Linked DNA regions of Drosophila melanogaster. The protein of the gene in region 2 interacts with the protein of the main gene of each other region in a pairwise test. Each region holds a gene or a part of one and is shown on either strand. Other genes may lie near its edges.

Region 1 (3,233 bases), on a different chromosome or scaffold from region 2:
GATTGGCGAATGCGATGGAGGCCACTAAGCGCACAGGAAGCCCGTCGGAACGGATGCCGCAGCTCCGGCCATCTGAACTCTAGACTCTAATGCACGATTAATGCCCAATCCCAGACGCACTGCTTCCACCTCCATATGCGATGTGCATTTCCTAGTAACAACAGTCGAGCTTCGACAAAAGGAAGACACTGAATTGATATACATCTACAAATACATCCAGATATGCAGATGTGTATTTGAAACTTATAAAAATATTAAAATGTGTAGTATTTGGTAGATATATTATTCTATCTCCTAGCAATATGTTTGGTTTTTAAGTTCAAGCTACAGAAGTCCCACTGTACTTGACTTCAGATGGAGCCGATGTCGTGGGCGAATGTCGATGGCATGTCCATTTTCAGAAATTAAGCCCTGTAAGCGGCTTTCATGGGACTTTGCCCACGACACTCGCCCATCTGGCCACTTGGGCCATGTGGAGCTATGTGTGGCTTTGCCACTGGACGGGGAAACGGAATGGAGTTGGAGTCACTTTCGTTGACGACCCTTTATTTGATACCATCAAAGTCATCAACAGTACAGTATACAGTGTTCTGTAAGCAGATTTGTCACTTCTTCACTTGTTGGCGCGACGACGGCAGTTGCCAAAGATGCGCAGGTGTTTGCTCCGGATGAGCTCCCTGGCTTCCCATTGACTCAGCTCGTAGATCTCCTTCTCCATTTGCTGGATCTGGGCAGCTATGGCCGCCGGCGGGAGTAGACTTAGTTCTGGAGAAAGTTTTGTTTGTATATATATGAATTTATCACCTCGGGAAACCACTTACCATACATCTTGCGCAGGTCGTTCTCCCTTTCCACATCCTGTTCACCGGCTGCCTCCTGTTCCTGGTCGTTTTGCTCGACCATATCGTCGATGATGGAGTCCGCTTGCTTTTGATCCCGCTGACTTTCCTCTTCGCTTTCCCCATTAGAACTGCCCCTTTCCATCTTTTCCAACTCGAATTCGATTGGGTCCTCCTCCAAAGTGTACTCCTCATCGCTGGGACTTCCTTCCCGCTTAATGGACTTCGTAACTTTTTTCATATTTTCGCTAAATTATTAACTTTTCAATAGGCTTCCTTGTTGTTTGTTGAAGAAATGCTGTGCCAGCGTGAAATCGCCTAATTGAGCTTACCACCTTGCTAATAGAATATATCAAAACAGAAGGGACCCAAGAAATTAGCTTCCGTACACCACTTTTTGCTGGAATGACAGGTTTAAAATCCCGAATATAAATCCACCCTTGGCGAAAGTTTTTCCAACGCCTAATGAGCTGTACAAAATTAATTGTCACCGCAGGAGGGTTGCCACCTTCAAAAAAGGAATACGTAATGTGCAAATTTCCAGGAGTTGCCAGGGCTGCAGCCAAGGTCAATGTGGGAAGCCCTGCAAGAACTGAATACCGGCCATTAGAAAGCGTTTTTCAAAGGACTCGGCTTCTTGTAAACAATCGATCGCAGGCGTTTTCCATCCCCCAGAAAGGAATCACCTCTTCAGCCCAAGCAACTTTCTTTACAGGGGTGTATGATCAAAATTATTTAAAAGGGGATTTTTAGTATTATAATTGTGAATAATTGATATATTGATATTAATAATAATAATAATATGATGATATGAGGAAGATAGAAGATTCAAGAACTTACTAATACATTTCATAACAATAATATTTAAATCTTAATGTCCTTGAACCCCTAAAGCCCCCTCTTTGTACTCACTACCTCCATTGTCCTTGTCGCACGTGTCCGCTTGCTTCGGTGGCGGCTTAGCAGCCGAAGGACATGGACATGGAGTATATGTATGTCCTGATGGTGACAAAGGGACGCGTGCTCATTATTCCCCCTGTCCAGCCGTGTATTCCGTCTGCTTTTGTAGCTGCTTTATGGCCAAAGTTTTTGGGCAAAGTATCGTTTATAGCCGGGTCCGCGACTCATGCAAATTGAACAAGTTAAACTTTTGAAGGGGTCGCTGTTCGCCCCACCCCCAGGACTCTCCAGAAGCGTTTTCCCCAGGGTGGCTGGCGTCTGTGTAAACAGTGTTTGCACCGCACAATGGGCCCCATTACGCTGCAGTTTATTTGCAAGGATTCGGCCTGTGTTAGCCCGTGTTATCATCCATGCGGCACGTGCCACTCGCAGGGGGGGGAATGGTTGGAAGTATGTCTGCTGCTGACTTTGATTTGTTCAAATCGCTGCCTAATGGATGTTAACATGATGCAAAACAAAAAAAACATTCCAAAGTTGTGCTGACTTCTATATCTATATATATTTACAAAAAAAAAAGTTATTTCTTTTGCATCATTTTCGCATGTTCTTAAGGTCGAAATTGAGTTCTTGAGTGTTTTCTCAATTATTGGTAACAATTTTACAATAGAGCAGTCTTTATTATAGTGTCTATAGTTATTTTGCTCAGTGCTCTTTAAAAGACGCAGTTACCACTGTGACAAGATAGCCGCCTGGGGCCAAAGAACCCAAACAAAACAAAGAAGCAAAGTAGTAAAATAGTGGCCCAAAACAAACAAGTTGGCCAGAAAGAGAAACAGAGACAGTAACCCAGACTAGACTAGACGATTAGTTGGCGGCAGGACATTGTCCCAAATCCGGAATTGACCCCTGAAATCGGTATGGGTCCTTTGCCAAAGTGCAGCTGCACCGCTTTGGTTCGGATTTGATGCCAAATATTGGCAATTTTAATGAACAACATTCTCGCAGCATTCAGCCATGCAAATGGCCCATTTAATTGGATTAACGCACATTTCCGCTGCGTCGCTGGCCAATTTATCACAGCTTTATGTGTGTTTATGTTTATTTATGCTGCGATTTAATTATGCGCCACAGTTGGAAGTGTGCCATGCGGAGATACAGATACATTTGTGTGGACATGCAGTTGGAATTGGAGTTGGAGATGCGGATGTCTGCCCCAATGCAATTGCTCTTTCTTTCTTACTCATTGAAGTGCCCCTCGCCTCGAGTCGCTGGCTTTCCTTCCTTTCTCGCCTGATTTACTGGCTGATCCATTGTGAACGGCTGTCGATGGCAATCGATACGATCCATACGATCCATACCTTGTATACATATATACTTTTTAGCACCGACCTCCCGCCTTCCCAACTCCCCGTCTCAGCAGAAATCTGACAGCCTGGTGCGAATATCTGATTCGGGATGAATGCGGGTAATTTGAAGTCTTGTTTGCGGTTCGCT
Region 2 (4,848 bases):
TAAGCCAGCTCCAACCCATGTGGCCCCCCAACTGGGAGCTGGCGATACAAACTGCTTCAATTTTAATGTCCTCAAACTGTCATAAACTGTAAATGCACAGTAAAAGCCATGAGTATAAGGCGGGCAAGCTGCGACAGATTCTGTCGTGTAGATGGCCAAGAAGCTAAAGCTGTCAGCTCAAGAGTTTAAGTTCGACAAGCTGGTGAAACTATTGTATCTTACACTGAAGTCCGATTTTCACTTAAATATTATATGTACTTCGTTTATTTAAACCTAATATAAAAGTGGGAAATTAATTGCCCCACTAAGTGTTAATCCTTTTCATACTAACGCTGTATACCTTTTGACACCTTCATGGTTGACTTCTGATTCACATACGCCCATTTAAAACACCCCTCACTCTTTGAACTCGATTTTTTAGGTTCACTGAGCAAACCTTTTTTTTTAACACGCTTGCGTGTGCCGTTCAACATTTAGCCAGTTTTTTGGGCCAGTGCAAAGACGACCCGCAGGCTGAAAGCCAACATTCGCTATACAGGGTACAATATAGCCGCATGAGAATACCCATTCATATGTATATGTATGTATGTATGAATGAAGTCGTGCACATGAGTAACCCGTTGGCACGACCTATCATCGCCCATTCCGCTGGCTAAGGCCTCCTGGCTGGGCGATGGGCGGTGGGTGGTAGGTGGGCGTGGCACGTGTCGCCTGCAGCTTTCATTAGTTCAATGTCAATGTTTTGTTTTGTGATCCTGGAACACAAAAACTGAAGAACATGGGAACCATCCAGCTGTCTGCCTTGGGTTTTTAATTTTAAGCGCATGTTGCTGGCCTCCAGCCAGCCACCTGCATCACCTTTGCCTGTCTGCTGATTAAGTGAGTACAAGCTGCAGGTGTCCTGCATTAGGACATCCCGCTGCTCCTTCGAGGCGAAAGGAATGCAAATTAAAACTGGTATCTCTTCCTTCTGTCACCGATTCTGCGGAAGCTCTGTGTGCACAGCAAATTGAATGAGGTGCACAGACGGCAATCGATATCTCGATGGAGGAAGTAATCTTTAAGTTCCTTTAAGTCTGAATATCTGGATATCCAATTTCCTTTTTCCCAGAAAACGACCGCAACACATGTCGAAAGTTTGCGGGCACAAACCATTGGCATACACTGAGGTGTATTTATAATTTAATTTAATTTAATTTAGAATTCCGTTTTATATAATTAAATATGGAATTTGGATGTTAAAACAAGTGTGTGTTTCAGCGTTTCTAACTAAATACTCTCGGAATTTCATTAGCAATTCTCTTGTCTTTGTACCCTTTTTTTTTGCAGTGCACAGGCGTACTTACCACATCACAGACATGGAAATTAGGCCAAAAGTGCGCAGGCAATAATGCTGAAATCCATTTACGTAATTCGAAATCCGCTGGCGGCGTTTTAGCCACGACAACAGTCGTATGCAAACTTTATTAATTACGCGCCCCGATGACCATTACCACCATATCGACCATCTACTATTGACCATGAAGCCATTCTTGCAGTCCGGCGAAACTTTGGCTGTTTACTATTTTGCTAGGCTGAGTTTCGGCCACCCATTGTTGTGTTGCGCAATTGGCACCAGCTATGAAAATCACGCAAAAGTTTTTCAAATTAAAAATTCAACAGATTTCACTCGGAAAATCAACAACCCTGGAAAGCGGCATATAACAAAAAACAAAATCAATGAATTAAAAAAAAAAAATTACATAATTCGATTGAGCCTGCTGTTCATAAAAAATATTGATACTGTTTATTAAAATCCATGTAAGACTTTAGTTGTTTTAATTTAATTTATCAGAACTGTTACTTTAATAATGACTTTAGTTAGTACCTTAGAAAATATGGCAACCCTTGACAGAATTGAAATATGTTGGCAACCCAAGTTTGGAGGCCATATGTCAAATGGCGTGAGACTTTTAACAAAAAAAACATTTGGTTCAGAAAAACTTCGCTTAAATTACTAAAGAAAAACTTAGTAGACCATTTCAGCATGTCAGTTGATCCACTATCAATCGATAATTTCACAATCCAATCTGAGATCTGCGAAGAAAACGAGTTTCTGGCAAATATAGGATTACTATCTACGACAACGTAATATTTTCTCCTTTTCTATCAAATATTAAAATAGAACTATAACTGTGCTACCATCCGTAGAATGTCGCGTCATCAATTGAAGAAACCCAGAAAGATGGTGGCGGCATGGCAAAACGATGAATTATTTATTAAACGCCCAAATTTCGCCCCGCGTATTAGGATTTCCGAAAAGCCAGAGATCCAGGGAAGAATTAAACCAGGCGTGGCGTCCAAAAGGACTGAGAACTTTACAAAGAAGCCGTCCAATATATCTGTAGATGTTTCGGAGGACGAGAAAGCGAAGGAAAAGGAAAAGGAGCAGGATCCCTACTCCAATGACTTTATACTTGGCAAGAGGTTCGTAATGGGAAAGATTCCCTAGAGATCCCTTTAAGTGCTTAATTGTTCATTCTCCTTTAGATTGTACAATTTCCTGAAGTATCTCAGCTCTCACCGTTGGATTTGGTGTGAGTTCGTCGACTCCTTCCTGGACAAGCCGACCCTGACCATGGGCTACGATATGAAGCGCTTCATAGCGGAGTACTGTCCGCTCCTGCACTCTTGCTTCATGCCCCGCAGAGGATGGCAATTGGTACGTCGGAATATGGGGAAGGCGCGTCGATTTTCGGCCGCCTTCATCGAGCTGGAACGCGAAGAATTGGAGTGCCAGCGCCGCATTGTGCGCCAGTTGCAGCAGCATAAGTTCAATCCCAAGGAGAACGTGGGCTACTTGGACCAGATACCCAAGCGTGTGCCCCTGCCACTGGCCAAGGATGCCACGGTCAGCAGTTTTCTGCACGGAAACTCCTTTGAGGGCATCGTCAATGGCACTGTCATGGGCTACGATCCGCAGGACTACACCTATCTGGTTCGATTCAATAGAAACGACAATGCAGTCGTGCTCAGTCTTCCGGATTCACAGCTCTATTCCGACGAGGAAACCGCGGCGGTTCCCTTGTCAATTATTATGCGCGGCAACAAATCGTCCTCGGTTATTTCGGAGAGCGCCAAGACCGAGAAGTTCGGAAACAAGAGGTACACCAAGGAACTTCTGGAATCAGTGCTAAGGGTTGGTAAACTACAGGATGTCAAGCACAAGATCCTCATGGACTTGGCCCGAATGAATGAGGATTTCGAGACATTCAAGGAGATTGGTTCTTCAAGTAGTCGTCGCGATGCCAAGGTCACACCTCAGCGTGAGAATCTCCAGCGTCGCTATTCGGCCAGCATGATAACGCTGCACCGAGTGAACGCTGATATCCTTGAACCGCTGCGCATCCTGCACGACTACCTGGTCGAGTATCAGAAGCAGGACGAGGAGGAGGAGTCCAAAAGAGGTCGTCCCGCCAGCGAAGTCTATCAGAAGTGTCGCATGCAGGCGGAACAGGACCTCAAGACTGCCGCGGATGAGAAATTCCTGAAGATAGAATCGGATCGCACGCAGGAGTTCGTCCGCAACCTTCACACCATACTGTATCTCAATGGAAAGCTGGGGCGCGAGAACAGCTCCAATTTGGAGACGATTATCGCTGATCTGGTTACCCACATGGTGGACAACATCCAGCCATCGCTGGGCCGGAAATTAAAAGATGGCGTCGATTCCCTGGAGCCTCTGCGTCAGCAGGTGGTGCAAATATTTAAAGACGTCAAAAAACCAGAGCGCTTCCAAATCACCCAGCAGGCTCCGATGCAAACCGAGGATGGTATCTACAACTTTGTGGTCGAGGCACAGCCGGATACTCCCAGCTAAACACACTACCTACTGGCCCTTTGGAATACTGAAATAAAGCCTCGCTCTTATTTATGGCTCAATTAGGAGGAGTGTCATGTGCATTGGGAGTTTGCCGGCAGAGGAGCTTAACGAAGTTTCTTGTGGCTGCTACCTTGTAGAGCTCTTTTGGTACTTACGCGAAGGGGTAGTTGGGGGGGGGGGGTACGTGGTTCTAGGATTTATTTCAAGTTTCCAGTGGCACGTTCCACAGGAAGTCAGCCGTAAAACAGTTGACAGATTGGCAACCAAATAAGTAATGCGTATGTGAACGAAAACTTTAAGGGGGCACTCAAAAAAGGATAATCACTGGGGAATGTTTGCTTTTTCTAAAGGGCCTGTAAATGTGTTACAACTTTGATGATAGAAAGTGTAGTTTATTAAATACTTAAAAATGATTAAGAAAAACTCTTACTATAACTCTCTAAGTACTAATAAACCCTGCAAAAAGGAGGTATGGAAATTTTCTCTTTTTTTGAGGCTAAATTTTGTGCAGCAATGTTGCATCCCCACATAAATCAGCATTTACGAGTAAAGTGTTTTCTATTTTTTAATTACTAGATGGATGCACTACGCTCGTAAATTGTGCGGGTGAGCCAGTTCCGCCGGGGAATTTGCCAACGCCCATGTGGCCGCCATAAAGACATCATTAATATGCCTCCGGATGCACTGCGTCGCTCTGTCCCCCGGGAGGAGAAACGATCGGCAAAGGAGCTGATGGCGTGTGTCCTGCGGGAATGGACTCTGGCCATTTTGCTCCCCCGGATGTGTCGTCGTCATCGACTAAGATGTGCGTATCCTCCACGGAATCCACCCGAGCGGGCGGCTCGTAAATATTTATAATACGTTGAAGCTGCAGGGGCGGCGAATCCGGCTATAAATTTATCGAGTGCAACATTTTTTCCACTATATGTTACAACTGTGGTAAAGACTCTGGTTGAGGATGCATTCAAAATTAAATGTTTTATTCG

Evidence for each region.
Region 1: the proteins of aly (region 2) and wuc interact in a two-hybrid assay, tested with the Drosophila melanogaster proteins (one study listed by BioGRID).

What each region holds. Positions count from the first base shown.
Region 1 is NT_033778.4:12,698,151-12,701,383, reverse strand, and holds wuc (Wake-up-call), read right to left. Parts: upstream 1,304-3,233; 5' UTR 1,172-1,303; exon of another isoform or gene 1,088-1,171; 5' UTR 1,081-1,087; coding exon 822-1,080; intron 766-821; coding exon 614-765; 3' UTR 533-613; downstream 1-532.
Region 2 is NT_037436.4:3,023,603-3,028,450, reverse strand, and holds aly (always early), read left to right. Parts: upstream 1-1,929; 5' UTR 1,930-2,026; coding exon 2,027-2,127; intron 2,128-2,190; coding exon 2,191-2,466; intron 2,467-2,529; coding exon 2,530-3,859; 3' UTR 3,860-4,322; downstream 4,323-4,848.